Anolis sagrei: one gene and its partners. The protein of the gene in region 2 purifies or fractionates together with the protein of the main gene of each other region. This does not show direct contact. Links are inferred from orthologs where the notes say so. Each region holds a gene or a part of one and is shown on either strand. Other genes may lie near its edges. The genes, in order: SYNJ1, SNX9 and DNM1.

Evidence for each region.
Region 1: the proteins of SNX9 (region 2) and SYNJ1 purify together in Homo sapiens (co-immunoprecipitation; 3 studies listed by BioGRID and IntAct, counting the BioPlex papers as one, with this or other methods). This does not show direct contact. The link is inferred for Anolis sagrei from reciprocal best matches to the Homo sapiens genes SNX9 and SYNJ1.
Region 3: the proteins of SNX9 (region 2) and DNM1 purify together in Homo sapiens (co-immunoprecipitation; 6 studies listed by BioGRID and IntAct, counting the BioPlex papers as one, with this or other methods). This does not show direct contact. The link is inferred for Anolis sagrei from reciprocal best matches to the Homo sapiens genes SNX9 and DNM1.

Annotation. Positions count from the first base shown.
Region 1 is NC_090023.1:69,427,807-69,437,938, forward strand, and holds the start of SYNJ1 (synaptojanin-1), read right to left. Parts: upstream 4,516-10,132; 5' UTR 4,412-4,515; intron 4,395-4,411; exon of another isoform or gene 4,267-4,394; intron 1-4,266. Other genes in the region: PAXBP1 (PAX3- and PAX7-binding protein 1), read right to left, coding at 8,965-9,076. UniProt on the Homo sapiens protein: Phosphatase that acts on various phosphoinositides, including phosphatidylinositol 4-phosphate, phosphatidylinositol (4,5)-bisphosphate and phosphatidylinositol (3,4,5)-trisphosphate. Has a role in clathrin-mediated endocytosis.
Region 2 is NC_090021.1:69,211,677-69,222,706, forward strand, and holds the start of SNX9 (sorting nexin-9), read right to left. Parts: upstream 4,526-11,030; 5' UTR 4,256-4,525; coding exon 4,244-4,255; intron 1-4,243. UniProt on the Homo sapiens protein: Involved in endocytosis and intracellular vesicle trafficking, both during interphase and at the end of mitosis. Required for efficient progress through mitosis and cytokinesis. Required for normal formation of the cleavage furrow at the end of mitosis.
Region 3 is NC_090031.1:16,581,288-16,591,498, reverse strand, and holds the start of DNM1 (dynamin-1), read right to left. Parts: upstream 3,990-10,211; 5' UTR 3,750-3,989; coding exon 3,589-3,749; intron 1-3,588. UniProt on the Homo sapiens protein: Catalyzes the hydrolysis of GTP and utilizes this energy to mediate vesicle scission and participates in many forms of endocytosis, such as clathrin-mediated endocytosis or synaptic vesicle endocytosis as well as rapid endocytosis (RE).

The DNA of each region.
Region 1 (10,132 bases), on a different chromosome or scaffold from region 2:
TACTGCAGTTCCTTGTTTCTGGAAAATGATAAGTGAGCAGAAAAACAAATGCTTTTTCTACCCTAATGTTGAGAGAATGGGATAACTTAGTAAAGAAAGTCTATTTGCTCTCACCCCTATAACCCTTTTAATAAGCAGCTAGAGCCGCAGTGGCACAATGGGTTAAACCCTTGTGCTGGCTGTGCTGCTGACCTGAAGGCCGGTGGTTCGAATCCACGAAACAGAGTGAGCTCCCATCTGACAGCTCCAGCTTCCCATGTGGGGACATGAGAGAAACCTCCCACAGGATGGTATCTGGGCATCCTCTGGGCAACATCTCTGCAGACAGCCAATTTTCTCACACCAGAAGTAACTTGCAGTTTCTCAAGTTGCTTCTGACATGATTAAAAATAAATAAATAATCAGCTAAAATATACTTTTAAATGGGTTCCCTTCACGGGTTGTTTTGTTTTTAAAAAAAATCTGGTTTCTTTAATATTGAGTTATTTTCATCACTTTATATTGAGTTATTTTTATCATCTGAATCTAAATAAACGTTAACACTCTATTTTGACTGTAATATTTTTTGTCTTGAATATTTTTTCTGATATTTATCTAACTACTGCTTCAGGAGAACTGTAATGCGCTCATATAATCATAGAGTTGGAAGAGACCTTGTGGGCCATCCAGTCCAACCTCCTGCCAATAAACAGTAAAATCACATTCAAAGTGCGGTAACACTTCTTGATACAATAAACCATCAGATTTCAATTGCTTCAACAGAGCTAAACCAGCTGCTGTGTTCGGAAACTGTTCCCAAACATGCAAGTGCTTTTTGTCATATTAATGTATGTCTAGCTTTTATGATATTTGTGAGGTGGAGAACTGGAACCTAAAGAAGAGGTACTAACTTCTGTATAACATTACAGTGTCTGAACAAAATGCATTGACCTTGGTAATGTTTGTTGCATTTCTGCACTCTTTCTTTGCTCATGTGAAGTGCAAATTACACAATCAGCATTTGCCAAAAACATTTCCTTTAAAATTAAATACTAGTGTTTATAAAACTAAATAAAAATACAGTGTGGCATAATAGCTGCAGATTACAAGAGTGATGTTTCTTGTGAAATACAGAATAAGGAGATTCAAGTCTTTTTTTTAAAAAAGTGTAATGGATTTCAGCACCACACACAGTTTTATAATACTACCAAGCCGTCTACAAATATACTCAGTGCTTAGCACGAGACAAAGATTATCAGGGCTCAGCTCTAGAATGCAAACATGCATTTGCTTCACCCTCTTCTGGTAAAGAAAGATAGTTATCAAATTGCTGACAGCAAATTTTGCAGAAACTTGTAAACTAGTCTATGCTGTTAACTAGTCGATGTTGTCATTGCTGGGAAGGAAATAGCATCTACTAACTTATCTGAGGGCAGGCAAAGGGCCTGGTGTTGATGCTTCTTGTGCCCTATCTGCCACTGAAAGCAACTACAGTAGACTCTCAGCCGACACCCAAGGGGACTGATAAATACCAGATAAATGTAGTTTCTGGTTGGTTGACAGTTACTATTAAACATAGGCGTAACTAATCTATACCCCATAATATAACATAAACTCTGTGTTAACTTGATATCTATATTGAAACACGGTAATTAAAAATAAATAAAGACAAATAAAGACAAACTTAATGTAACATAGTTTTACTGTACAGTCAAGATTCCAAGTTTCAAACATCTGACTTACAAATGACTCCTAGTTAAGAATGAGGCTGAGAGAACAGGAAGGGAGAGAAATCTACCCCTAGGAAGGGAAATTCACTCATGGGAGAGTTGATGTAAGGGTCCTGATGGCGCAACGGGTTAAACCATTGAACTGCTGAATCTGCTGACCCAAAGGTTAGCAGTTTGAAGCTGTAGGTTTGGGTGAGCTCCCGCTGTTAGCCCTAGCTCCTTCCAACCTAGCAGTTCGAAAACATGCAAATGTGAGTAGATCAATAGGTAACACTTTGGCGGGAAGGTAATAAAAGGCGGCCATGCAGTCATACCGGCAACACAACCAGGAGGTGTCTATCTGTGTATGTCATAATCTATTCTGAATCTCCTCGGGGAGATAGAGCAGAAGATAAATAAAGTATATTGCTATTATTATTATTTATCATAGGGAAAAGGAGTCTCCACTGAAACTTCTTCACCAATCCTTGTTTCCACAACAAGCCAATTTTTTTCAAAATCCAAATCCCACAGGGACAGAAAGTGAGATGAAATGTTCTGAACAGTGGAACACACAGCAAAACAAACACCACAGGGGTGTTAACCATTCTCTATGCTATTTAAAGCTATATATTTGGCTGGAGTTACACTGAAAATGTTCTAACTTACTTACAAATTCAACTTAAGAGCAAACCTACAGAACCCAGTCATGTCCATAACTTGGAGACTGCCTGTATTATAAAAACAGCCTTGTGGATGCAGTATTATTTTCCTCAGTGTTTTGCTGGTTGCTTGAGAGTCCCAGATAACAATGGCCCCTTCCACACAAGCTGAATAAAATCCCACACTATCTGCTTTGAATGGAATAAATGGCAGGGTGGACTCAGGGCCTTTCACACAACCCTGTATCCCAGAATATTAAGGCAGAAAATCCCACATTATCTAAGTGTGGATTCAGATAACCCAGATAAAAGCAGATATTGTGAAATTTTCTGCCTTGATATTCTGGGATATAGGGCTGTGTGGAAGGGCCCTCAGATAATGCAGGCCCCTTCAAGCCAGGCCCTTTATCCCAAGATCCGGTTATTGGTTTACTGCTTTAAACTGGATTATATGTGTCCGCACTGCCAGGTAATCTGAGAAAAACAGAAAACCTGGGATCAGATCCTGGGATAAAGGGCCTGTCTGGAAGGGCACTCGGGGACTTTCCACACAGCCCTATTTCACAGAATATCAATGCAGAAAATCCCACAGTATCTGCTTTGAACTGGGTTATCTGTGTCCACACTCAGATAATGTGGGATTTTCTGCCTTGATATTCTGGGATATAGGGCTTTGTGGAAGGGCCCTGGGTTATCTGCGGGCCCTTCCACGCAGCCCTAGATCCCAGAATATCAAGGCAGAAAATCCCACATTATTTGAGTGTGGACTAGGTTATCTGAGTCCACACTTAGACAATGTGGGATTTTCTGTCTAGATATTCTGGGATATAGGGCTGTGTGGAATGGCCCTTAGTTCAAAGCAGATATTGTGGGATTTTCTCCCTTGATATTTTGGGATCTAGGGCTGTGTGGAGGGGCCCTGAATCCACACTCAGATAATATGGGATTTTCTGCCTTGATATTCTGGGATCTAGGGGTGTGGAAGGGTCCCGAGTCCACTCTCAGATAATGTGGAATTTTCTGCCTTGATATTCTGGGACATGGGGCTGTGTGGAATGGCCCTTAGTTCAAAGGAGATATTGTGGGATTTTCTCCCTTGATATTTTGGGATATAGGGCTGTGTGGAAGGGCCCTGAATCCACACTCAGAAAATGTGGGATTTTCTGCCTTGATAGTCTGGGATCTAGGGCTGTGTGGAAGGGCCCCGAGTCCACACTCAGATAATGTGGGATTTTCTGCTTTGATATTCTGGGTTATATGGCTGTGTGGAAGGGTCCTAAGAATCTCCTGTGCCTCACTTTGCCTAAAGGCAGAGCCAGGGCTAAGTAGCAATTTCAACCCCCTCCAACAATGTGTGTTTATACATTGCACAATAACTAGATATTAACATCTGGATATAAACATCTGATTCTTTTAAAATCCAGCGAGATTTTAAAAGACGTGTTTTGAAGAGCCGTCGCAATTCCATGTCAGAGACGCCGCCTCGCCTCGGTGTTGAGACGGAAATCGATTTCTTAATGAACCGCAGGCCAAAGAAAACATGATTACTAATGACAGCAGTAATGGAAGCCCAGCTGGGAACTGCCTCAGAATTTGAGAGCAAGGAAAACAGCATCTTGGGAGCCATACACAGAAACACCAAACTGGCAGGCTTCTCCCCCCATTGGGGGAAAAGGGGGCCTTCCTGGGTTCCCGAAGCGAGGCCTGGCCTGCGGGGTCTTTCTGGAGATGGGGACCCTTCCCTTCCCTTTCCCCAAGACCGTCCCCCAAGGCTCCCCATCTCCCCGTTTCCTCAGAGAGCATAGCCAGCGGTGGACGCCCGGCTTTCCACGCAGGCGATAAGCTTTTGCCAAGGCGACGCTGATAATCCCATATACCGAAGGCCTCCCTCCTTCCCTCTCCCCATCCCTCCTTGCCGTGACAGGCCGGCGCTCACGACTCCTCCATCTTGGGATTCCCTCTCTAACGGCTCCCCCGGCCCAGGAAGGGGCCCGAGTTCCTCCCAAATAAGAACTGAAGCAGAACGGGCGCCTCGGAAGAGATGCGGAGTCCTCCCCTTACCGGCCACCTCAGGGAGCCTCTTCGTGCAGCCGCTGCCTGAGGCGCTGGCCTCACTTCCTCTCCGGCGGGGCCGCCGCTTCCGCACTGCCCCGCCCCCTCCCCTCCAGACCGGAAGTTGTGGGAGGTGCGCGAGGACAGGGAGGGAGGGGCGCCCTGTCTCCAGGGAAGGAGAGTCTTCCTTCACCGTCTACTTTAGAGCAGGTGTGGGCCAACTTGGGCCTTCCCTCCAGGTGTTTGGACTTCAACTCCCACCATTCCTCACAGCTTAAGCGGCTGAGGGGGAAAAGGAAAAGGCCTGAGGCTGTGAGGAATGGTGGGAGTTGAAGTCCAAACACCTGGAGGGAAGGCCCAAGTTGGCCCATGCCTGCCTTATAGTCAATCTAGTTGTGGCTTTCTCAAGAGGCTCAGGCAGCAAAAACAGACCGTGCTTGACCTTGGTGTGTGTGCTTGTGGTTTGGCCTGAAATCCCTTCTTGCTGTCAGGAGGCAAGATGGATTGTTTTGGAACATGACTAACTGGAAAACACTACCCTCCGGAGGCGCATCCGTTTCCTTTCAGAAGACCTGCTGACTCAGCAAATTGGCTGTTTTTTTTTAAACGCAGCATCATTTTTTTGTCCACATTTCGCCTTCCTCTAAGCCAGTGATTCTCAACCTTCCTAATGCAGCGACCCCTTAATACAGTTCCTCATATTGTAGTGACCCCCAACCATCAAAATATTTTCGTTGCAATTTCATAGCTGTAATTTTGCTACTCTTATGAATCGTAATATAAATATCTGATATGCAGTATGTATTTTCAATAACTGGGACCAAATTTGGTACAAATATCTGATACGCCCAAATATGAATACTTTGTCATTTCAGAGTTGCAGTTGCTGGGATTTATAGTTAACTTACAATCAAAGAACATTCTGAACTCCATCAATAATGGAATTGAACCAAACTTGGCACCAGACACCCATGACCAACAGAAAATACTGGAAGGGTTTGGTGGGCATTGACCTTGAGTTTTGGAGCTGTAGTTCACCTACATCCAGAAATAAATGCACCCTATTCCAGAAGTTACTGGACTGTTTGGGGCTTTTAAAAGTGCTTTAAAACAGTGATTTTCAGCCTACTTCGGAAAAAAAAGTGGGAGGGTAAAGTAGGCCCTCTGTATCAATGGATTTAATCATGTATATTTCTTATGTGGTTTCACAGCGAGTTAAACTGCTGAACTTGCTGATCAGAAAGTCAGTGGTTCAAACTCACAGATGGGGTGAGCTCCTGTTGTTAGCTCCAGCTTCTGCCAACCCAGCAGTTCAAAAACATGCAAATGTGAGTAAATCAATAGGTACAGCTTCTGCGGGAAGGTAATGGTGCTCCATGCAGTCATACCAGCCACATGACCTTGGAGGTGTCTACAGACAACACCAGCTCTTTGGCTTAATAATGGAGATGAGCACCACCCCCGACTAGACTTAATGTCAAGGGGAAACCTTTACCTTTACTAGGATTTAATCCATCATTCCATAGCATTTACATTATTTCTTATGTTTTCAAAAGGCAGGCCTTGATTTTGTTATTCTATTTAAGGGACATCATTTTATTATGCCATTGTAAATAATATGACTTGACCATTGATGAATTCATAACACAGGTCCTGGAATCAAACTGAACAGATACCAAAGCCCCACTCTATGTGGCTTGAATCGGAAAACCCCACATTTTAGCATGGATTGCCATTCAAGGTCTTGGGAGGAGTATGTGGCCCCCAGGACCACTGGAAGTAGGTAGTGATTACAGGCATGAAGAAAAAAAGTCTATTGCCTGTATATTAACAAAATGTTTTATTGCTGCTGGATAATTACTTGTGACAGATCTGTCACACTACATAATCCTGTGATGTTTCTTTTTTAATGGTTTGACTTAATGCTTTTAACATTGTGCACAAACTGAAGGTCAGAGTAGGAAGGCTTCACATACTAACTCTATGACACCTCTCTACATCAGTCATTGTACTCCGATATTTAATTTCTGCCAGCACTGCTTTCTGGCCTATTCTTTCTAAGAGCTTTAGGACTACCGCCACTGTCTTGTTCTATTTTTGGGTGACACAAGTTACTTAACGTGGAAAGGTTATGCCAAAATTAGATCTAACCAGTTGTCTGCATGCAGACAGATATCAAGTTTAGAGTAATGACTCATTAGGTTTTAGAAACCCAAAGTACAGGACTTTTGTACCTGTACCTTTTTAGAAATTGAAATAGCAAAAGTATGCAAACCAAAAGTAGACCGGGTACAGCTACTTGTCACTTTCTCACTTATATCCAAACAGTAGAATAATTTCATAAATAATGTAAATGCTTTCATAAATCAGTACTATTTCATTCTCTTAACATAAAACACTAGGATGTTTTCAATTAAGAATCTCTTCCCTGACTTTTGTACCCAGAATTTGTTTTAAGAGAATATAAAAGAAGTTGTAACTTTTTTTTCTGTATAGCATAAATGTTTTATATAGACAGTATATTCTTAAAACAGATGTGCAAATAAGTGGAGCTCTATATATTATTAGAATAGAGCTCCTAATCTGTATGAGAACCCTTGTTCCTTTAACAGGAATGGGCAATCTTTGGGCCTCCAGGTGTTTTGAACTTCAGCTCCCACAATTCCCAACAGCTGGTGCCTGTCCTATAATAAAGAATTTAATTGATGTTGGTTGCCTGGGGCTGCTAATTAAATATGTAAGACTGATCGCCAAGCAAATCTGTAGAGGACTATAATAGGTTTTCACTCAAGATTACCAGCTTTAAAATGAGCAGTTTTTAAAAAAGACTGTCTGGGAGACTTGACATAAATTTAAGCACCACTCGTCTTAAAATCAAAACCTATGGAATTAAGTTTGAAAATAAGCAGTGCTTGATTTTAAATTGCTTCGTCAGCTTTGAACAACAGTGAGCCGATCTTTATACTAGTTTAGGACATAGGCCAAAGTGCTAACACAAGAGTGCAGCACTGTCACTCAGCTTTACCTTGTATGGCATGGACCTTATTTACCACCTCATTGTGCTTGAGAACGGCTTTTTAAAAATCACATGGCAGCCTAAATAGAAAGTAAATGCTTCGGCAAGAATGAATCAGGAAGGGCTGACATCAAGTATATGAATAGTTAGGATAGAAATCTGCTAAATCAAGGTAACATGAGAAAATATTTCCAATGGAAGTTAGTGATTATCAAACATACATTAATTTAGCAATGTTCTTTTCAGAATAAAAATTCTGTTTACATAGTGAAATACTGTATATTCTGGGGTTTTACACAACTGGGGCTATAAGACGACACCCCAACTTTAGCACACAAAATAGAGAGTTGGGGATATGCTCACCGTTTAAGACGACTCCGCATTTTCTGTCCTCTACGCCAGGTGGTTTCTGTCCTCTACGCCTGGTGTGTGGTTGCCCCTGGGCTGCTTCCTGCGCCACCTCCAGAAGGGCCTCCCGCGCTGCTCAGACCGCTCTCCTTCTTCCTGCCGCCATGGCATCTCTGCCTCCCAGCCCCGTCAAGCCTTGCGAGAAGCGCCTCTTCTCCTGCGAGACAAAGTTGTCTCGCGGGTGAAGAGGTGCTTCTTGCGAGACCTGGCCAGGAAGGAGAGCGGCCTGAGCAGCGCGGGAGGCCCTTCTGCTCAGGCCGCTCTCCTTCCTGGCCAGGCCTCGCAAGAAGCACCTCTTCTCCAGCGAGATGTCTCACAGGAGAAGAGACGCTTCTCGCGAGGCCTGACCAGAAAGAAGGAGTGCGGCCTGACCAGCGCGGCAGCCAGGAAGAGAGGAAGGACGGGGAGCCTGCCATGAGCCAAGGCAGTGGAGGAGGAGGAGGAGGCGGAGGCGGAGGGGAGCCCGTGGCCAAGGCCCTCCACACCAAGAGGCTCTACCGGTAATTTTATTATTAATTTTATACCCGGCGTAGTAGACTCCGCAAATTTTATAAGGTTTTACATGCCTAAAAAGTCGTCTAGTACCCCGGAATATACAGTACTTTCACTACAAGGAAATGCATTTTACTGTGAACCCCCAAGGACTGTTATGTAATTGCAATTGTTAATTTTTAGTTATTATCATCAATACACAAACAGAGACCAAGGATATTGTTTTGGAAATTTCTTTACTCTGAGCAGGGTCACACCATATACATATATTTTGGACCAAATTCCACCAACTGAAATCTTACTTTGAAATCTTCCATTATCTGAAACACAAATTTGAGGGCTATACTATTTGCAGATGATCTGTTAATGAGCTTTATACTAAGGAATTTCCTGTTAATGGAAGGTCATTCAACTGAATAGATGGCGACAATGGAGTATAAAAGTCTTTGTAAACAAGATGGAGGTGAAAATTTTCCTGGCTTCCTTTTCATTTTCTCAGAGACATCAATGCTAGTATAGATGCTGTATATAAGAATGCATTTTGTATTAAAAACAATCCATAGTTTACAGTTTAATAAAACTTTACATATGTACAAAATTACACTTCAGGAATGATTTTTATATCCCAGAATTACATGGCAAAACTTTATTTCCCCTCACTTTTTAACTCTTTCACATTATGATCATTAGCCACGGTCACAGCATGGTCCAGTGCCCGAATACTTGATAGAAGTTTTATTATCTGTTTTATATGCTCCCTAAGAAGAAATGAAAGAAAATGGTCAGCATTATTTAAAATTTGGATCATACGTGAGAAAGTACTAAATACCCTGGATATTATGTTCAGATACATCCACTTTCTCCCTTGCAATGAGTAGGGCGAAATACTGCTCAAATTCAGAGTCAAAGCATGATCAGCACTTAGCATCAGCACCCTGGTTAATAAAATATTCTCAGGTAAGGTTTGTGGTGATTCATTCGTCTTGCAAAGAGATTGTATACATACATGGCTACACAGAAATAAAATAGCCAAATGCTCTAATACATACTGGCTAGCCTTAACATGGCTTCGGGTTACACCAGCAATTATTACTTCCACAAAGGACTACTGGAGCACATATTACTCTGGAACTTCTACCATGATTTATAATTCAATAATCTGTACTGGAATGTACAAACATTTTTATACTGTACTACTTTGTGCGATGCACTGTAAGAAAGAATACAATACTACACTTGAGAACAGTAGCACCATGCAAGGCAATTCTAAGTAGTGTAATGCTGCTTTCACATTAGGTAACAACTGTCACCCAAGTACTGCAATTTATTTATTTTCTCCCAGTCAGAAGCAGACAGATTATTGCAAGTAGCATATGTGGAGTTCATCCATGCCATGCTGGACTCCTAAATCACTTTATAGGTAATATTTATACATTATTTGCCCTTGAGGCATCTTGAACTTTTTCAAAATGGTGATGTTTGTATTCTGAATCAAATGCTTTAGAACTGAATAATGTATTTGTTGTTGTTGTTCATTCGATCAGTCACTTCCGACTCTTCGTGACCTCATGGATCAGCCCATGCCAGAGCTCCCTGTCGGCCATCACCATCTCCAGCTCCTTTAAGGTCAATCCAGTCACTTCAAGGATACCATCAATCCATCTTGCCCTCTTCCCTTTTCCTTCCATTATCCCCAGCATAATTGTCTTCTCTAAGCTTTCCTGTCTTCTCATTATGTGGCCAAAATACTTCATCTTTGCTTCTAATATCCTTCCCTCCAATGAGCAGTCGGGCTTTATTTCCAGAAGTATGGA
Region 2 (11,030 bases):
CTGTACTTCTTTTAAAGTACTTTTTTTTTTTGCCTGATAACAATCTTTGGTTTTGAAAGCTGGCATGCATATTTGTGTGTTTTTGGTTAGCCTAATAAAAGTTGTACCATCATATGGCCTTTGGAATTTGTTTTACAGTCAACACAGCTATTCCTGCGTTTGTACAAGCACAAGGCATTTCCTCTGGGATTTTGCTTCAGCTGGTCTCATAATGAAAATGTAGGAATAAAATCTTTATAACAGTGTTTCTCATACTCTGATCCTCCAAGAAGTTTTGGACTTCAGCTCTCACAATTCCTAACTGGTAAGCTGGCTGGGATTTCTAGGAGCTGAAGTCCAAAACAACTGGAGGAACAGAGTTTGAGAAACACTGCTCTCTAGCCATGTTTAGTTCTGTGAGAAGAGTAAGTCACAACAGGCCCTCAGCTTATGAAGCACACACACAAAAACAAAAACACATACACAGTTGATAGGTAATATAAATAGGAAATAAAAGCTTTTGGACTTAAGGTTTGTTGTGCAAGTCAAACCCAACAAGCCACAGCTAGTGAAGACATGTTTACTATAAAACATGATCTATAGACCAGGCCCAATTCCACTAAACATAGTTAAGAATAACTTTGCAACATTGAACAACCACAAATAGCAGTAGAGGTTTCTGATCTTGTCCCCAATGTTACAGAAAACAAGATGGGAAGAAGACTATGAATTAAAAGTTCACAGATATTCATTGCATTGTGTTAAACTATGGTTTAACATAATGTTCAAACATTAATAATGATCAGAAAGATTCTGCTCTACTTCTACCATGTGTTCAAGCTAAACCAAAAGATATCTAAGATTTAACAACTTTTTAACCTATAAAAAGGAAAGACTTTCTGCCAATTTTAAGATTATAGATTATCACAGCAAATAGAAAATATTGTTTTTTTGAGCTATATGACCATGTTCTAGAAGCATTCTCTCCTGACGTTTCACCTGCATCTATGGCAGGCATCCTCAGAGGATGCGAGGTCAGACCTTCTAGAGCAGGGGTTCTCAAACTAAGGCCCGGGGGCCGAATACGGCCCTCCAAGGTCATTTACTCGGCCCTCACTCAGGGTCAATCTATGTCTGAAATGACTTGAAAGCACACAACTACAACAATCCTATATCATCAGCCAAAAGCAGGCCCACGCTTCCCATTGAAATACTAATAAGTTCATATTTGTTAAAATTGTTCTTCATGTTAATTATTGTATTGTTTTAAAGTGTTTTTTGCACTACAAATAAGATATGTGCAGTGTGCATAGGAATTCATTCATGTTTTTTTTTTAAAATTATAATCTGGCCCTCCAACAGTTTGAAGGACTGTGACCTGGCCCTCTGTTTAAAAAGTTTGAGGACCCCTGTTCTAGAGTATGGCCATATAGCTCGAAAAACCTACAATAACTCAGTGATTCCAGCCATGAAAGCCTTTGACAATACAGAAAATATTATTAATAGTCCTATCTATCCGATTTGTTGTCAATCCACTCCTTTGGGCTTCACACAAATCTACCATTTGCCAAAATATATGATCCTGTCATTAATAAACTATTATTAATAGTATCACACTATAATTACAGATTGAGTGACCAATTAAATTCAACGCCTTATGTAAGAACAAAAAATAATAAAAACATAACTATATTTATGTTCTAAAATAAATTCCAAAACAGGTATACAGAAGATCAGAAGTTACTGATTACTCAATGATTCTCCTTTTATAGGTCAGGTAAATGACACAGCTTTTTCCATAGAGTGATTTGGAAATACTCATTGTAAACATGGACTGGCAACCAAAACTAACATATGAGAAAGATCAAAGAAAGAGGGGAAAAAAAGGTGAATTTTAAAATCCTTTGTGGTAACTAAACAAGTAAGCCATACATTATGAACCCACAATGATTTTGGAACAACATTTCCTTAACATTCATTAACTCCTTCCTTGAGACCTCTAAGCATTCTTCCTTTCCTCTTGAAAGTATTTTTGAAGCACATGTAAAAACCAATGTAGGCCTAAACTCCAAAAGGAAAAAAAAAACACCAGCAAGTAAGACCAAACAGACACTACAGGACTTATTACCAAATAAGCATATATTGGACAGCAGTATTATGTTCCCTCAAATATGTGCTATTTGCATTATACAGGCAGTCCGCAAGTTACAAACATCTGACTTACAAACAACTCTTCATTAAGAACAGGGGTGAGACAACATGAAGTGAGAGAAATCTGCCCCTCTGAAGGGAAATTCACTCCTGAGAGGCGTCTCCACTGAAGCTTTCTCAGCAATCCTTGTTTCCACAACAAGCCAATTGATCCAAAATCCAATTATGACAGGAAGAGAAAGTGAGGTGAAATCTTCTGAACGGGGACACAGACAGCAAGACAAACACAACAGGGGTGCTAACCCTTCCCTACACTACCCAAATCAAATTTATATATTATATGGGCCCCCTACTGGTGCAGCGGGTTAAACCGCTGAGCTGCTGAACTTGCTGACCGAAAGGTTAGCAGTTTGAATCTGGGGAGCAGGGTGAGTGCCAACTGTTAGGCCTTGCTTCTGCCAACCTAGCAGTTCCAAAACATGCAAATGTGAGTAGATCAATAGATACCACTTCTGCGGGAAGGTAACGGCGCTTTATTCAGTCATGCTGGCCATGTGACCTTGGAGGTGTCTACAGACAACGCTGGCTCTTCGGCTTAGAAATGGAGATGAGCTCCACCCCCCAGAGTCGAACATGACTATACTTAATGTCAGGGAAGCCTTTACCTTTACACACACACACACACACAGACATATACACACATATATATATCTACTACTAATACTATATAAAATAACAACACTTTATAAATAAAATATTATTTCATATATTACTATTTATATATATAGTATTATTATTATTAAAGCTGGAGTTATACTTCAAAAATGTACCTGTTTTGAACAAATACAACTCAAGAACAAACCTACAGACCCTATCTTGTTTGTAACTTGGGGACTATCTGTACAGGACTGTAATCTTTCAGAGTTTGAATATATACCAGATATCGCCACTGTGACATCCAACAACAGGTACAAAAAAAAAAGATTGTATAATTGTGTGCACACACCTGTCAACTTATGGTGACCTCATGAATTTCACAGGGTTTTCTTCAGCAAGGAATATTAAGAGATGGTTTTTTAGGAGCCCCCCCCCCCCTTCTCTCCAATGGCACAATGAGTTGAACCCTTGTGCCAGCAGGATTGCTGACCACAAGGTAGACTGTTCCAATCCAGGGAGCGGGTGAGCTCCTGTCTGTCAGCTCCAGCTTCCCATGCAGGGATATGAGAGAAGCCTCCCACAGGGTGGTAAAACATCTGGGCATCCCCTGGGCAACATCCTTGCAGACAGCCAATCCTCTCATGCCAGAAGCGACTTGCAGTTTCTCAAAAAAAAAGAATTAAGAGGTGGGTTTGCCAGTTCCTACCAGGGCTGACTTCAGCCCCCCGAGGTGTTCTGGACTTCAACTCCCACAATTCCTATCAACCTCATGCCCCTTCCTCCACCCCCCCTCCCCGAACTTAAGGGGCCTGAGGCTGTAAGGAAGTGGTTCTCAACCTGTGGGTCCCCAGGAGTTTTGGCCTACAACTCCCAGAAATCTCAGCCAGTTTACCAGCTGTTAGGATTTCTGGGAGTTGAAGGCCAAAACATCTGGGGAGCCACAGGTTGAGAACCACTGCTGTAAGGAATTGTGGGAGCTGAAGTCCAAAACACCTGGAGGCCTACTCCACAGGAAGGAGCCATGGAGCAGTTGAAGTGGTATCAAACCACATTCACAGGGAGGCCTTTGGACACAGAATCCCAGAGGCCTTGTAACACTACAACTCCCATGAGCCCACAGCAGGGAGCCACGTCAAACCCATCCCTGCCCAATTCTCCCCAAGGCAGTCTAATAATGGGCTTTCCTTTGGCCGTTAATGGCCAAACTTCCAACAATAACAATAACAACACAATTTCTCAGTCTCTGGGTGAGCCCAGCGAGGAAAGTTGACAGGGAAGGAAGGCCTCTGGAGCCAGGGATCAAAGGGGATCCCCTCAAAGAAAAACAACAACAACAAGAGCCTCCACACGCCCTTCATGTGAGGAGGCAACCCGCCCAAAGCGCGCCCAGAGGGAAGCAGGACGGGAATGGCGAGCGAGCAGGCAGAGAGGCCTGAGGGGAGAAAGGAAGGCTCACCTTGGTGGCCATGGCGAGTGGCCCCCGGCGGAGGGGATGCAGCTCCGGGCTCCCTCCTCCTGGGCCTCGGCGGAGAGGAAGGCGAGTAGGAGGAGGGGGAGGAGGAAAGGGAGGCTCCCTCCCTCTGCAGACGCCCCCTTGCCTCCTCCTTCCCTCTCTCCCTCCTCCTCCTCAACCCAACTGAGGGGAAAAGAAAGGCGCCTCTTCCTCCCTCTCTCTCTCTCTCTCTTCCTCCTTCTCCTTCCTCCCTTTTCTCCTCCTCCTCCTCCTCTTCCCAGGCCCAGGGGCGGGGTTTGAGCGGAGGGAGGGAAAGGGGCGGGAAAAGGAGGGCTGGCCCAAGCCACGCCCCTCCCCACGTGACGCCCTCAGAAGGCACACTCTTGCTTTCGGAAGGAGAGCCTCTTCCCGCTGGGGTGGGGGGCCGGGGTGGTTGTTTCTCAGGCCTCTCTTCTTCGGCTGGATCTACGCTGCCAGGGTCTGAAGCCAGGCCATCTTAATAATAATAATAATAATAAATGATAACAATAAATTAATTATAATTATATTGAATTAATTATATAATTAATTATTATATATTATATAATTAATAATTCGAACCAGTGCCATCAAAGCCAGAATTGAAAAGTCAACAACAGATCCCAAATGTAGACTGCAAGGAAGCAGATGAAAGAATAGATTACATCCTCAGCTATTGCGCAGACAGACTACAAGCAGAGGCATAACACCGTTGCTCAGATGGTTCATTGGAACTTGTGCCTGCAACAAAGAACTGGTGGGATCACAAGCCGGAAAAAGTTACAGAAAATGAATATGCCAAACTCCTCTTAGACTTCCAAACTCAGACAGAGTTCTGGAGCACAACACTCCTGACCTCACATCATGTTAAAAAACAAAGTATGGATCACTGATATTGCAATCCCAGGCAACAGCAGGATTGAAGAGAAACAACTGGAAAAGCTGACATGATATGAGGATTTAAAGATCGAACTGCAAAGACTCTGGCACAAGCCAGTCAAGGTGGTCCCAGTGGTGATCGGCACACTGGATGCAGTGCCTAAAGACCTTGGCCTGCACTTAAATACAATCAGCACTGACAAAAGTACCATCTGCCAGCTGCAGAAGGCCACCTTACTGGGATTTGCATGCATTATTCGCTGATACATCACACAGTCCTAGACACTTAGGAAGTGTCCGGCCTCTGATCCACTACAACAGCCAGCAGAGTGTCTGCTGTGGACTCATCTTGTTGTGTTAATAATAATAATAATAATAATAATAATAATAATAATAATTCAAACTAACAGAGTGTCGGAGCACAATACTCCTGACCTCACGATCATGTTGAAAAACAAAACATGGATTATTGATATTGCAATCCCAGGCAACAGCAGGATTGAAGAGAAACAATTAGAAAAACTGACACGATATGAGGATTTAAATTTGAACTGCAAAGACTCTGGCACAAGCCAGTAAAGGTGGTCCCAGTGGTGATAAGCACACTGGGTGTAGTGTCTAAAGACCTTGCCCTGCACTTAAACACAATCAGCACTGACAAAATTACCATCTGCCAGCTGCAGAAGTCCAACTTACTGGGATGGGCACGCATTATTTGCTGATACATCACACAGTCCTAGACACTTGGGAAATGTCCCACGTGTGATCCAATTCAACAGCTAGGAGCAGGCCCGTAGCCAGGATTTTGATTCAAGGAGAGCTGAGTTTGATTCCCGGGGAGGGGGGGTGAGGATCTACCCTAGCAAACCCTAGCAAACCTTTTGTATCATTACCACAATACCCCCATGCATATGGGATATATTGAGCATGGTGATCAGATCATGATATGAACAAACATAACAATTTAAATACTGTACCGGTAAGGCCTTCTCATGGACCACCCTGAGAATTTGGGGGGGGGGGGTGAAGCCCCTCAAGCCCCCCCCCCCCCCCCCGATGCCTGGCTAGCAGAGTGATCTTGTCTGCTGTGGGCTCGTTGTGTTTCTAATAATAATAATAGTAATAGTAATAATTCAGACTGACAGCGTTTTGGAGCACAATACTCCTGACCTCACAATTGTGTTGAAAAACAAAGCATGGATCATCGATATTGCAATCCCAGGCAACAGCAGGATTGAAGAGAAACAACTGGAAAAGCTGACACGATATGCAGACTGTGCAAGGAAACCAAAATGCAGACTGTGCAAGGAAACTATGAAACCATGGATCATATCTTCAGCTGTTGCAAGAAAATCGCACAGACAGACTACAAACAAAGGCACAATTCTGTGGCCCAAATGATTCACTGGAAGTTATGTCACAAGTACCACCTGCTAGTAGTAAACAATTGGTGGGATCATAAACCTGAAAAGGTAGTGGAAAATGAACACGCAAAAATACTGTGGGATTTTCGAATCCAGACTGACAAAGTTTTGGAGCACAATACACCAGACATGATGATTGTGGAAAAGAAAAAAGTTTGGATTATTGATGTCGCCATACCAGATGACAGCCGCATTGAGGAAAAACAACAGGATAAACTCAGCTGCTATGAAGACTTCAAAATTGAACTACAAAGGCTCTGGCATAAACCAGTGCAGGTGGTCCCAGTGGTCATTGGCACACTGGGTGCCGTGCCAAAAAATCTCAGCCGGCATTTGGAAACAATAAACATTGACAAAATCACAATCTGTCAACTGCAAAAGGCCACCTAACTTGGATCTGCATGCATCATTCGAAAATACATCACATACATTGAACACAGAAAGTTGATCACAGTGGGCAGGGCTGGTTGCAGAGATTAAAAGTTTAAAAACAATGGGTGAGAGAGCAATGTAATGTATCTGGAGAAGGGATCCGTGGGACGAAGTGGGGTTTAATTGCACTAACAGGTAAAATAAATCATATATTTTTATTATATATAAATGGTTTTCATGAGATGTCTTGTGTCCCTATACATTTCATTATATTTTGTTTTTAAAATACAGTATTTATTTTGTATTTCACATAACTCAGAGGTTTCACGTTATGTTTGTGTGACACACCTAAAATTGTTTTGTGTGAGAGTGTGTTTATAATGCTGTGCTATTGTTGGATTGTGTGATTTTAATGTTTATATTGATATGTTTTAATTCTATGTTTTAATCTTAAATGATGTGTTTATGATTTAATTGATAATTGTATGTTATTATTGTTATGTTAGGTTTCTGTATGTGAGGCATTGATTTTTGCCATAATTATGTTGGAAACTGCTTTGAATCCCCTTTTAAGGGAGGAAAGTGGTATACAAGTGAAGTAAATAAATAAATAATTAAAATTGCTTTTATGTGATCACTTTCTGTGTATATCATTTATTGTATCCATTTCTTTGGTTGTAAGCTGACCAGAGACCCTCTAGGGAGATGAGGCGGGGTATAAATACAGTTGTTGTTGTTGTTGTTGTTATTGTTGTTATAACACAGATCTTTCCAAACTGTGTCTTGACACATGAGTGTGTTAGCTGCAGTGTGTAGGAATGTCATGGAAACATAATGGGAAATCTTGGAAATGCATGTTATTGTCTTACAAATAATATATTTTAAAGTATAAAAATGAAAGATTTTCATAAGAGATGTTGCGTCCCCATACATTCCATTATTACAATTTATGTATGCAACTGTATCTCTTATAAGGAGTTAGTTTAACCTCTGGTTTGCCAGTTAAACCAAATTATTGTGCCCCAAAAATGATACGTGTCTACAAAGTATGCCACCCACATGAAATGTTTGGAAAGCTCTGATGTAAGGTATGCAGATAACAGCATGCTACTGGGAGAAAACAGGAAAGACTTGAAGGTAGTCACTGAAGGTTTACAGAAAACAAGACATAATGACTACAGCAGATTTACAGAATTCTAGACGATGAAGTTATCGAAAGAGTTTTAAGATTTTCCATATCCTGGCATAGTCACTCTTCAGTCAAGAAAGCAGCTTTTATTGGCCCCTAATACCAATGCAATGCAACCACCTTATCCCTGGAGGATATGTTCTAAGATCCTCGTGGATACTGAAACCATGGATACTACAGAACACTATATTTGGACTCTTCTTCAGCTGGAAGCTTCCTATTAAATAGCACTGGTTGATCTAGAGAGGCCCACAAACACATCTGGAGAGGGATATTTTGGATAAGTGAGCCCATTGCTAACCTTATAAGGGCAAAAGGCCACTATAAACAATACTATAATACAATAATATAAGCCATATGACTTATATTATTGTATTATATTTTTGTTTATAGTGGCCTCCTGTCCTTGTACTTAAGGAAATCTTTTCTCTGTATTGCTAACCTTATAGCCATCCCTTTCCTTTTGTACAGGGAGCTCCATAGTCCAGGAAAGTTGAGTCAGAGCTGATGAGAGCATTTCTCAGTGGTAAAATATATATATAGCAACAATAGCAAGCATTTCTAAGTATGGGTTGCAGAATGGCTGGAATTCAGTGTCATCTCAGACAAATCCTCAGGAAACTCTGCCCACAGCCTGAATGTTTCTACTTATGCTGTAATAGTCAAGCCAGGATTAGTCAGTGTGTGGCTTCCTATCATAAGTTTGCATTTTCAGGAACCTCTATACAAAAGTGGTCTGCTAGTAAAATTAAGTCTTTCCCTATTCTAGATCTGTTACACAGCTTATCAGATTTCAGGTTTATGATTCCTCTTCATTTTGTATTAAACCCTGAGATCCACAAACCAGAACCTGGTTTAAAAATACTGGCTCAGGTTGGTACACACACTAAAACCAAAAAAGCCATATATCTGATCATATGAATTTGTGATCAATACCATAGCAAAACTTACGAACAATTTTACATAGATAGGTAATTAGGTAGGTAGGTAGATAGATATGTAACTAGGTTCCATTGTATCTTTCTCTCTTCTATAAAACATTCTGAATTAACTGTTGTTTGTATCTTATTCCTTAAGTGGCTTTTTGAAATCAAGTTTGTAGTCTTGCTGCTGAAACAGAAAGAGGGATGGTTGGTCACTGCAAATCTGAGTAGCAAATCTAACATAGCGTGAAAAACACTGGCAACATAATTAAATCCTCATTTTCCATGTTACCACGTGATAGAAAAGCATCCAGAACGAAACAAAAACATTAGAAAGTGCTTGGCTCAGGAAACCCAAGTACATTTCCCTGTCAATTCTTGTCAACCTTTCTGAAGGCCTTGTCATTTCAATGTTTTACTAAGACTGAATTGATTCCTTACGTATATGATGATATATGGGTAATAGTAGTGGAGATGGATGCTTTCTTTCCCATAGTCGTTGGTCTCAGTGTTTTCTACATCATTCATATCAGTGCTTCAAGAAAATGTGTCTTTGTCCTATAGTGTATGCAATACATCTTGGGGCATTTACCCAAAATCAAATCAGCTCTGACTCAAATACTTTTGGGGCTCCCCCCATCCATCAGATGAATGATCCACGGGATCTATGCAGTTCACATAATGTTCTTCTAAGTCAGCATTTCTCAACCTGGGGGTCGGGACTCCTGGGGGGTATCAGAAAACACAGTATTTTCTGTTGGTCATGGGGGTTCTGTGTGGGAAGTTTGGCCCAATTCTATCATTGGTGAGGTTCAGAATGCTCTTTGATTGTAGATTAACTATAAATCCCAACAACTACAACTCCCAAACGTCAAGTTCTATTTTCCCCAAACTCCACCAGTGTTCACACTTGGTCATATTGAGGATCCATGCCAAGTTTGGTCCTGATCCATCATTGTCTGAGTCCACAGTACTCTCTGGATGTAGGTGAACTACAACTCCAAAACTCAAGGTTATTGCCCACCAAATCCTTCCAGTATTTTACTGCTGGTCATGGGCGGTCTGTGTCCCAAGTTTGGTTCAATTCCATTGTTGGTGGAGTTCAGAATGCTCTTTGATTGTAGGTTAGCTATAAATCCCAGCAACTGCAACTCCCAAACATCCCCACCAGTATTCAAATTTGAGCATATCAGGTATTTGTGCCAAATTTCAACCAGTGAATGAACATGCATACTGTATATCAGATATTTACATTACGATTCATAACAATAGCAAAATTACAGATATGAAGTAGAAACGAAAATAATTTTATGGTTGGGGGTCACCACGCCATGAGGAACTGTATTAAGGGGTTGTGGCATTAGGAAGGTTGAGAAACACTGTTCTAAGTAAATGTGCTACTCTTGAAGAATTGGCTATACATTCCGTCTAGATTACTGCTCTCTACGTGGGGCTGCCTCTGAAGACTGCCCGGAAGCTGCAGCTAGTCCAACGCTCGGCAGCCAGATTTCTAACGGGGGCTGGGTACAGGGAGCATACAATCCCTCTGTTACGCCAGCTCCACTGGCTGCCGATTAGCTTCCGAGCACAATTCAAAGTGCTGGTTTTGACCTACAAAGCCCTAAACGACTCTGGCCCTGTTTACCTGTCCGAACGGATTCTCCCCTATAAACCATCAAGGTCTTTAAGATCTTCCGGGGGGGCCCTGCTCTCGATCCCACCACTGTCACAATCGCGGTTGGTGGGGATGAGAGACAGGGCCTTCTCGATGGTGGCTCCCCGGCTTTGGAACTCCCTCCCACAGGAGATTAGAACTGCTCCCTCCCTCCTTACGTTCAGGAAGCTAGCAAAGACTTGGCTATGGAATGCGGCCTTTGACAACTGAATCAACTGGTCCATATGGAAGGAGAATGAATAACTGTGAATTATGACCAGGAATGCTTTGACGACGTGGCTATGTGATTGTGATGATGACGATGTTGTAT
Region 3 (10,211 bases), on a different chromosome or scaffold from region 2:
CAGGTCGTGCCCGACTCTGGGGTGTGGTGCTCACCTCCATTTCTAAGCCAAAGAGCCAGCGTTGTCCGTAGACACCTCCAAGGTCATGTGGTAGGCATGACTGCATGGAGCGCCATTATATTAATATATTAATATAATATATTGATATATTATATTATATTGTATTAATATAATGTAATACATTATTGTAATACATTATCCATAGATACCTCCAAGGGCTGGCATGACTGCATGGAGCGCCATTATATTAATATATTGATATAGTATATTAAAAAATATAATGTAATATATTATTGTAATATATTATCCATAGACATCTCCAAGGTCATGTGGCCGGCATAACTGCATGGAGTGCCGTTATATTAATATATTACATTACATTATATTATATTATTATAATATAATAATATAATATTATTATATTAAATAATATTATATTATTAATATGATAATATTATAATAATTATAATATTATATTATTAATATAATAATATAATATAAAAACTGCATGGAGCACCATTATATAATATATTACATTACATTACATTACATTACATTACATTACATTACATTATATTATATTATATTATATTACATTAAATTCTATTATATTATTAACAGCACAGGAGGCAAGGTGGAACTGTCTTGCGTGGAACCTGGCAAAACCGGGAGGCAGAGAGTGGAGGATGTGCTGGTGTGTTCTCTCCCTTGAATTTGCACTTTGCAGGGATTGCAACCAGCGACGCAAGCGAGCAACGACTGGCAGGGACTGCACTGTTCTTCTTACAGAGGGAGCATCTTGCTGGCGGACGTGCCGTGCATCGCTAACACATTTCCAGGCACTGACACCGCATTGATATGCGGCCGACCCCATTGGTCCTGTTCTCTTCCTCTCTTATTGATTTATATACTTTTTGCCTTCCTGTAAAGCACTGAGAGAAGCCCAAGAGGTGGAAAATAATAAGACCTGGGGATGCCGAACATTGCATCATTGCAAGAAGAGCAACGTTGCATTGACGTTGCATCCTCCTGGAAGGAATTGCAATGGCCCAATCGAAAATGATGAAGATTTGCTTCTGCCTGCATTGCCCCCCTTTTACCCTTCTGATATTTCTCTCCTCTCTTGAGATTACGTAACGATGGGGGTTGAGGACTGGGCTTTGCTTGCAGACGGAGCTGTTTCCTTCACATCCTCTCTTCCTAGCCAACAAGGTTAACTTCCCAAGGCCAGGAGCAACAGAAGGAAGGGGAAGAGGAAGCAATGGGAGGGGAATGTTGCCCAGACTCAGCTCAGCAATCCCAGGATGATTTGGGATTAACACCATTCGATCTCTCCTTGCCTTGAGGATGGGGAGGCAGAGCACAACACAACACAACCACCGCCCCGTCCTTCCATCTCCAACCCCAAAAGATATATGTGTGTGTGTGTGTATGTATACATATATGAACAGAATTTGGATCAGCTTCTGGATTATGATGCCAGGTCTACGTACGATGCTTCCAAGTCTATGCATTGTATTGACATGCCATTGTTTTGATGGCCATTGTATTTATGATTTTGTATTTGTATTTTTAATATTTAATGCAGCATTGAATGATTGCCAATTTGGAAGCTCCTCCAAGGTTGAGATAGAGCAGGGTAAAGAAAAGGCAGTTAATAAATAAATAATGTGTGTGTGTGTGTATATATATATATACACACACACACACACACATATACATACATATATATATATATATATATATATTATTTATTTATTTATTAACATATATATATATAATTTATTTATTAAATTTTAAATAATTTACATACTTTTGTGCATTCTTGTCATTGAGGTTTTTATGGTCTTCGTGTATCTGTTTAGATCATTATGTTTATCCAATTATTAATTATATATATTTTTGGCTGAGCACTTATTAATTTTTAATTATTATTTTTTTACTGCTTGATTTTTGTGGATCTTTTCTACCAAGGTATTGAATGTTTTCGTTTCTTTCTTTCTTTTGTCTGGAAGCTGCCCTGAGTTCCCTTGGAGAGATAGGGAGGTCTATTAATAAATTATTATTATTATTATTAATTTTTTATGTGTGTGTGTATTTCTTCTCCTCCACCCTCCCTCCAGAAGGAAAAACAGGCATGCTTCTCCCCAAACCTAGAATGGCTGCTGCTTATTTTTACTATTATTACCATTTTAATTTCTGAATTCAAATCCAAATAGAATTATTATTATTATTATTCCCAATGTAATTTCTGAATTCAAATCCAAATTATTATTATTATTATTTCCAATTTAATTTCAGAATTAAAATCCAATTATTATTATTTTATATATTATTATTCCCAATTTAATTTCTGAATTAAAATCCTATTATTATTATTTTATTTATTATTATTCCCAATTTAATTTCTGAATTAAAATCCTATTATTATTATTTTATTTATTATTATTCCCAATTTAATTTCTGAATTAAAATCCTATTATTATTATTTTATTTATTATTATTCCCAATTTAATTTCTGAATTAAAATCCTGATGATGATGATGAATTTCTGAAGTAAAATCCAAATAATGATGATTATTCCCAATTTAATTTCTAAATTAAAATCCAAATGATGATTATTATTTATTCCCAAATTAATTTCTGAATTAAAATCCTGATGATGATGATGAATATCTGAATTAAAATCCAAATGATGATGATGATTATTATTCCTAATTTAATTTCTGAATTAAACTCCAAATGATTATGATGATTATTATTTTTCCCAATTTAATTTCTGACTTAAAATCCTGATGATGATGAATTTCAGAACTAAAATCCAAGTAATGATGATGATTATTATTCCCAATTTAATTTCTGAATTATAATCCTATTATTATTTATTCCCAATTTAATTTCTGAATTTAAATCCAATTATCGTCATTATTATCTATTCCCAATTTAATTTCTGAATTAAAATCCAATTATCATCATCATCATTATTTATTCCCAATTTAATTTCTGAATTACAATCCTATTATTATTATTATTATTATTATTATTATTATCTATTCCCAATTTAATTTCTGAATTAAAATCCAATTATTATCATTATTTATTCAGAACTTAATTTCTGAATTAAAATCCAATTATCATTATCATCATTATTTATTCCCAGTTTAATTTCTGAATTAAAATCCAACTATTATTATTATTATTTATTCCCAATTTAATTTCTGAATTATTATTTTTACTATTATTATTATTATTATTATTATTATTATTACCCTGGAGATTTGCAGAAAAGCAATGCCTCTGTTTGAGCCTGTGCTTGGGGAGGGAAGGCAGGAGGGAGAGGGTGGGGTGGGGTTGCTAGGCAACCCCGGCTGTCAATCACAGGCCTGCCTCCTAGGGTTGGTGCTGGCACCAGGGAGCATCTGCAATGGATGGATGGAGCCGGGATGGAAGCCTTGCATTCATCCTCTCCGCCATCCCTTGCACTGCCACTAGAGGGAGCCATTCTGCATGGAGAAAGCAGGCTCAGATAGAGATAGAGAGAGATTGCCATACACATAAATAGAGAGAGAGATGCATAGAGAGACTGACCTGCCGACGAAATTCTCCAGGACGGAGCTCTTCCCGGCGCTCTGCCCGCCAACCACGGCAATCTGGGGCAGGTCCAGGTTGGCATTCTGCCCGATGGCGGAGAAGGCGTCCTGGAGCCGGTTGACCAAGGGAATGAGGTCCTCCATCCCCCGGTTGCCCATGGCTGCGCCCGCTTAGCAGCCCCGCCAGGGAGCTGGCCAAATACTGGTCCCAATACAAGAGAGTCTGCTGGGGAGGCTCAAGCCCGGGCCGGCTCCCCCAGGCCTGCAACAAGGGCTCCCTTCCCCGTCTCTCTCTCTCCCTCTCTCTCCTCCCGCTTAATCCATAGGCTTGCCTCCTCCTCCTCCTCCTCCCGCTGCAGCACTGACTGCTTTGACTGGCTCCCAACGCAAAGACAGCGCGCTGTCCCGCCTCCCGCCGCCAGAGGGCGCCCTCCGCAGCGCCTCCAAGCGCTTCCTGGGAAATGTAGTTCAATAGGCAGAGGGGGATGCAGCCCAAGGTTAGCATCCTCCCATCCTAGGCCATGTTTGGAAGACCCAGTTCAAAGCAGATACATGTGGGATTTTTCTGCCTTGGATATGCTGGGTTATATAGGACTGTGTGGAAGGGCCTTGGGTTAGAATAATAATCATAATAATCATAATAATCTATATAAATAAAAATATAATGCTTATTTGTGGGATTAAGAGAACTCAAAAACCACTGGGGGAATGTCACCAGATTTGGACACAAGACACCTCTCAGGCCAATGAGTGACCATCACTCATAAAAACACTGAAAAACACAGAGGTAGGGACTTAAAAAGCCAAAAAACCAAAAGAAAACATTACAACTCATGTGCAAAACCACATATATATATACAAACACACACATATACACACATGTGCATACACACACACAAAACATACACAGAAAGAAAGAAGGAAGGAAGGAAAGAAGGAGGGAAGGAAGGAAAGAAAGAAGGTGAGAGAAGGAGGGAGAGAAGAAGGGAAAGAAGGAGGAGGGAAGGAGAGAAAGAAGGAAAGAAAGAAGGGTAGAGAAGGAGGGAAGGGGAGAAGAAGGGAGAGAAGGGAAAGAAGGAAGGAAGGAGAGAAAGGTAGAGAAGGAAGGAAGGAGAGGAGGGAAAGAAGGAGGGAAGGAGAGAAAGAAGGAAAGAAAGAAGGGTAGAGAAGGAAGGAAGGAGAGAAAGGGGGAGAAAGAGGGAAGGAGAGAAGGAAAGAAAGAGGGAGGGAGAGAAAGAGGGAAAGGCAGAGGGAAGGAGATAAAGAAGGAAAGAAAGAAGGGAAGGAAGGGTGGAGAGAAGGAGGGCAAAAATGAAATAAGTGAAAGAGGGAATGAAGGAGAGAAGGAACAAAAGAGAGAAAAGGGGAGGGAGGGAAGGAAGGAAGGAAGGAAAGAGACAAGTAGGGATAGAACCAAAGAGCAAAGGAAGCAAGAAAAGAAATAGGTAGAGAAGGAAGAAAGAAGAAGGGAAAGAAAAAGAGGGAAGGAAGGAAAGAGGGAGAGAAGAAATGAAGGAGAGAAAGAGGGAGGGAAGGTTGGCCACAGCAACGCGTGGCGTGTACAGTTAGTAATCTATATAAATAAAAATGTAATGTTTGTTTGTGATATTAACAGAACTCAAAAAGCAGTGGGCCAATTGACACCAAATTTGGACAGCACACACCTAACAACCTAATGTATGTCCTTCACTCAAAAGTTTTTGATTTTGTCATTTGCGAGTTGTAGTTGCTGAGATTTATAGTTCACCTACAATCAAAGAGCATTCTAAACCACATAAATGATGGAATTGAACCAAACGTAGCACACAGGACTCCCATGACCAACAGAAAACACCTCATTGGGTTGCTCTAAGTTTTTTGGGCTGCATGGCTCTGTTCCAGTAGCATTCTCTCCTGATGTTTTGCACCCTCATAGGTTTATTGGCAGTGAGGCAAGTATATATAAGTATGTTTGCATGTGAAATAATGCCTGGTCTCTCCATTCATCTTGTTGGGTTGCTGCAAGTCTTTTGGGCTGCATGGCCCTGTTCCAGCAGTATTCCGAAAGGCTCAGATGTGCCTTTCAGCTCTCCTTCAGGATCCCATTTGCACCAAAATGCAGCAGCCACAGCTTTGTCTTGTTTTGCAACGGCTTTTCAGAAGAGAGAGACGCAAATGTATGTTGACATAGCAACCACGGGGATGGGGCTCTGTGTTGCCACAAGGAAATGTGTGCAACCTGGCTGTTGTTGTTTGGTTCGTGCATCATCTCACGGCAGGAGGGAAGCATCTCAGATCAGGAGTCAACCTGAGCACTTTTGCAGGGATGCCGACAACAGGAAGAAGTGCTCTTTTTCCTTTTGTTTTTAAATAACCCCCCACCCGTGAACCACCACCAATGACCTCCACCAGGTGTGAAACTAATATCTGGTGCCAGAGAGCAGTCTGTTCAGCACTTTTCAGGTCGCCCCGTCCTCCATGTACCCAGGAAGGAGCCTCTCATCCTCACAACCTCTGAGGATGCTTGCCACAGATGCAGGCAAAACGTCAGGAGAGAATGCTTCTAGAACATGGCCATACAGCCTGAAAAACCTACAACAACCCAGCCTCTCATCCACTATCAGCCATGGATTGAGGTTTCGGGTTTTAGCCTGCCACTTTTGGACTCTTGCTTGCTGAGGTGTTTCTGCGAGTATCTCTCTTGATCTCAGGAAGTTGATTTAAGGCATTGGGATGCTGACTGATATCTGAACAGAGGATGGGCCAGAGATGACAATGCCTTGGTCATTTCATTGCTGGCTGCTACTTCCCGACAGATGTCAGGTGGTGCAATATTGGCTAAACAGTATATTTTCTCCAGTGGTGTTGGGCGTCCACATCCACTTTGTGGGGAGATGTGTTCCACACTGGGCATGACTACTCAGCAGCAGAGTAGCAAAGCTCAAGGGCAGGTGTCTTAACTGTGTCTGGTTGTGATCCCAAGGTTGTGCCAGCTTTCATACAATATTATTTCTAGCACCCACTTTTTGCTTGATAGGCAAGCAGTGCTTCTTGTAGGTCAAAGCATGGTCCAGAGTGACTCCCAGATCACTCTGGGAGTGCTTCCGTGCAATTCCTTCCTAGCTCATCCTTAGACCTCAAGATCCTTGTCTGTCCTTAAGGTGAAAAGCACATGTCTGCATTTTAGATGGATTAAGAATTAGCTAGTTTTCCCTGAAATAGGCAGTCAACGCATCTAAAGCTTCAGAGAGCTTTTGTTCAACAATTTCAAAGCACTGCTTGGGCGGTGATGGCACGATCATCAGCATAGATTACACTCTCTGACCCTTCTGGCAAGTGGCTGGTCATTTGTGTATATGTTGAACATGGATGGAGCCATGGATTGAGGCTCCCCTGAGCCAGGCTGTTCTTCTGCTTCTTTGGCCCTGGAACTCAACAAAAAAGCTCCTGTTTTGTAGCAGATTTCCTATGAAGCGGGTGAGGTGGTCATCCCTTGTGATATTATATGTTTTTTCTCAGGAAAAGGCCATGATTTACAGTGCCTTAGGCTACTGACAGGTCTATGAAGACAGGTTCTGTAATCTGATGCCTTTCAAAACCATCTTCTATGTGTTGAGTCAGGTTCAGCACTTGTGATGTGCAGTTTTTGCCTTTCCTAAAATAGCTTGATGTGAGATCATAAATGGGTCTATTTTTTCCATAATTCTATGCAAAATAAGCCTCTCCTGAACTGAAGGTGAAAAGCACATATCTGCATTTTAGATGTAATTGGCAATAGGAGCACTCCAAGCTTTGGGGAGCTTCTCTTCAACCATTTCAAAGCTCCCTCCGTGAGTGGTGATGGCACGATCGTCAGCATAGATGAAACTCTCTGTCCCTTCTGGAAGTGTCTGGTCATTTGTTTAAATGTAAGAGCACCTAAAGCTTCAGAGAGCTTCTGTTTAGTCATTTCAAAGCTCCCTGCTTGAGAGGTGATGGCACGATCGTCAGCATAGATGAAATTTTCTCTCCCTTCTGGCAAGTGGCTGGTCATTTGTGTAAATGCTGAACATGGATGAAGCAAGCACACTTGCCATCTTCTTCTCTGGCCCTGGAACTCAACATAAAAGCTCTTGTTTTGTAGTAGATTTCCTATGAAGCGAGTGAGGTGGCCATCCTTTGTGATAGGAGAAGGCTATGATTTACAGTATCATAGGCTACTGACAGGTATATGGAGACAGGTTCTGTAATCTGCTGCCTTTCAAAAACCATCTTCTATGTGCTGAGTCAGGTTCAGCACTTGTGATGTGCATTTTTTCCCTTTCCTGTTCAACCATTTCAAAGCTCCCTGTTTGAGCGGTGATGGCGCGATCATCAGCATAGAGGAAACTCTCTGTCCCTTCTGGCAAATGGCTGGCCATTTGTGTATATGTTGAACATGGATGAAGCAAGCGCCTGAGAACTGGGAAGCCCTGGTCCTAGAACAAGCCCTATGAGGAGCGGCTTAGGGAACTGGGCATGTTTAGCCTGAAGAAGAGGAGGCTGAGAGGAGATATGATAGCCATGTATAAATATGTGAGAGGAAGCCACAGGGAGGAGGAGGGAGCAAGCTTGTTTTCTGCTTCCTTGGAGACTAGGACGCGGAGCAATGGCTTCAACTAAAAGAGAGGAGATTCCATCTGAACATTAGGAAAAACTTCCTGACTGTGAGAGCCGTTCAGCAGTGGAACTCTCTGCCCCGGAGTGTGGTGGAGGCTCCTTCTATGGAAGCTTTTAAGCAGAGGCTGGATGGCCATTTGTCAGGGGTGATTTGAATGCAATATTCCTGCTTCTTGGCAGGGGGTTGGACTGGATGGCCCATGAGGTCTCTTCCAACTCTTTGATTCTATGATTCTATGAGTGCTCCAGCTGGAGGTCAGCTGTGACCAGCAGTGCTGCATAATTTGAAGAGGCACGAATAGAGGGCGAAAGAGAGAAATGTGCTAAGAGGAAGGCGCATCAGGCCAACCCCGACCGAGACCACTTTCCACCTGAAAAACCAATGCCCTCACTGTGAGAGAAGATGCAGATCAAGAACAGGGCTCCACAGTCACCTACGGACTCACCAGAACACTGATCCTGGAAGACTATCCTACTCGGCCAATGAGGGATCACTTAAGTAAGTAAGTAAGTAAGAAGCAAGCGTGCTCCCCTGAGGCAGGTTGTTTTTCTGCTTCTTTAACCCTGGAACTCAACAAAAAAGCTCCACTATGAAGCGGGTGAGGTGGTCATCCTTTGTGATAAGTTTTCCTCAGAAGGCAATTATTTGCAGTGCCATAGGCTAACAGATCTATGAAGACAGGTTCTGTAATGGTTAGTGGGCAGACCGATATTGTTGGGGCTCAGCCTGTGATTGTATTTCAGGATCAGGGTGTTTTGGATGTGGGGAGTGATGTTAATGAGTTTCAAGATGAGTTCCAAGATGGCAATGGTTTGGCCAGTGATATTGATGCAGAGAATGACCAGGAGATCCCTGTGCAAAGTGTAGTTTCCCATGAGAATGTCTCTGAGGGGTGTGGAGATGATGGTGTGCTTTCTGAATTGTTACCAGAGAGTTCCCATGATTTGGAGCTTGAAAACAGCTCAGCACCTGGCTCAGCTGCAGAAATTAATGAGCAAATATTTATTTATTTACTTATTTACTTCATTTGTATACCGCTTTTCCCGGCCCTTAGGCGACTCAAAGCGGTTAACAATAGCAAAAAATAAATGCTATTTAACTTATTTAATTAAATCATAAAAACAGTTAAGAGACAATTAAAACAATAACATAGTAAACAATTAAACATCAATATAACATCTCATTAGCGTCTCATCAGTAGAATCAAGATCCAATCTCATCATCCGTTGTTCCGTATTCCTATATTCATTACACTGTCTATTCAAATGCCTGCTCGAACAACCAGGTCTTCACTTTCCTCCAAAATGCCAATAGGGAGGGGGCCGATGTAATATCTGTAGGAAGGGTATTCCACAGCCGAGGGGCCACCACTGAGAAGGCCCTGTCTCTCGTCCCCGCCAAGCATGCCTGTGTTGCAGGCGGGACTGAGAGCAGGGCCTCCCCAGATGATCTTAATGTCCTAGCTGGTTCAAATAAATAGACAAGAGGAGATTCGTCAAAACAGGAGAGCCGAACAATGGCTTCGGTGGCCTGCCAGGGTCCGAGAAAAAAGACATTATCAGTTAAAACAAAACCAATTTCTGAATGCTAGAGACTTCGCTAACGAGGAGATAAAAGTCCCAAGTACAGGATATGTAGTCAGATGAAGCATCGTTTGGAATCAAGTTAAGTCCTCGTTCTTGTTCGTGGAAGTTTTGCTTGTTTTAAGTGCCTTTGTTTCATGGTTTTGATTCTTGTATTTTATGCTTCCATATTCATACTTTGGGTTCATGTTTCCTGATTTCTTGCATGTTATTTGGGAACTTTTGACTTTGTTTTTATGGACTTTGCTGGACTATTACCCTGGACTGCTTTGTTCCTGCTTATCTTCCTACCTAATTGGATTTACCTATATTTTTGAAGTTTTTTTAACTTTTTTGCTTTTTCAATTATCTTCAATAAAAGGATTGTTTAAAGTCAGAGTCCTGGAGTGCAACGGATGTGCTACGTTTGCGGGATTTGCT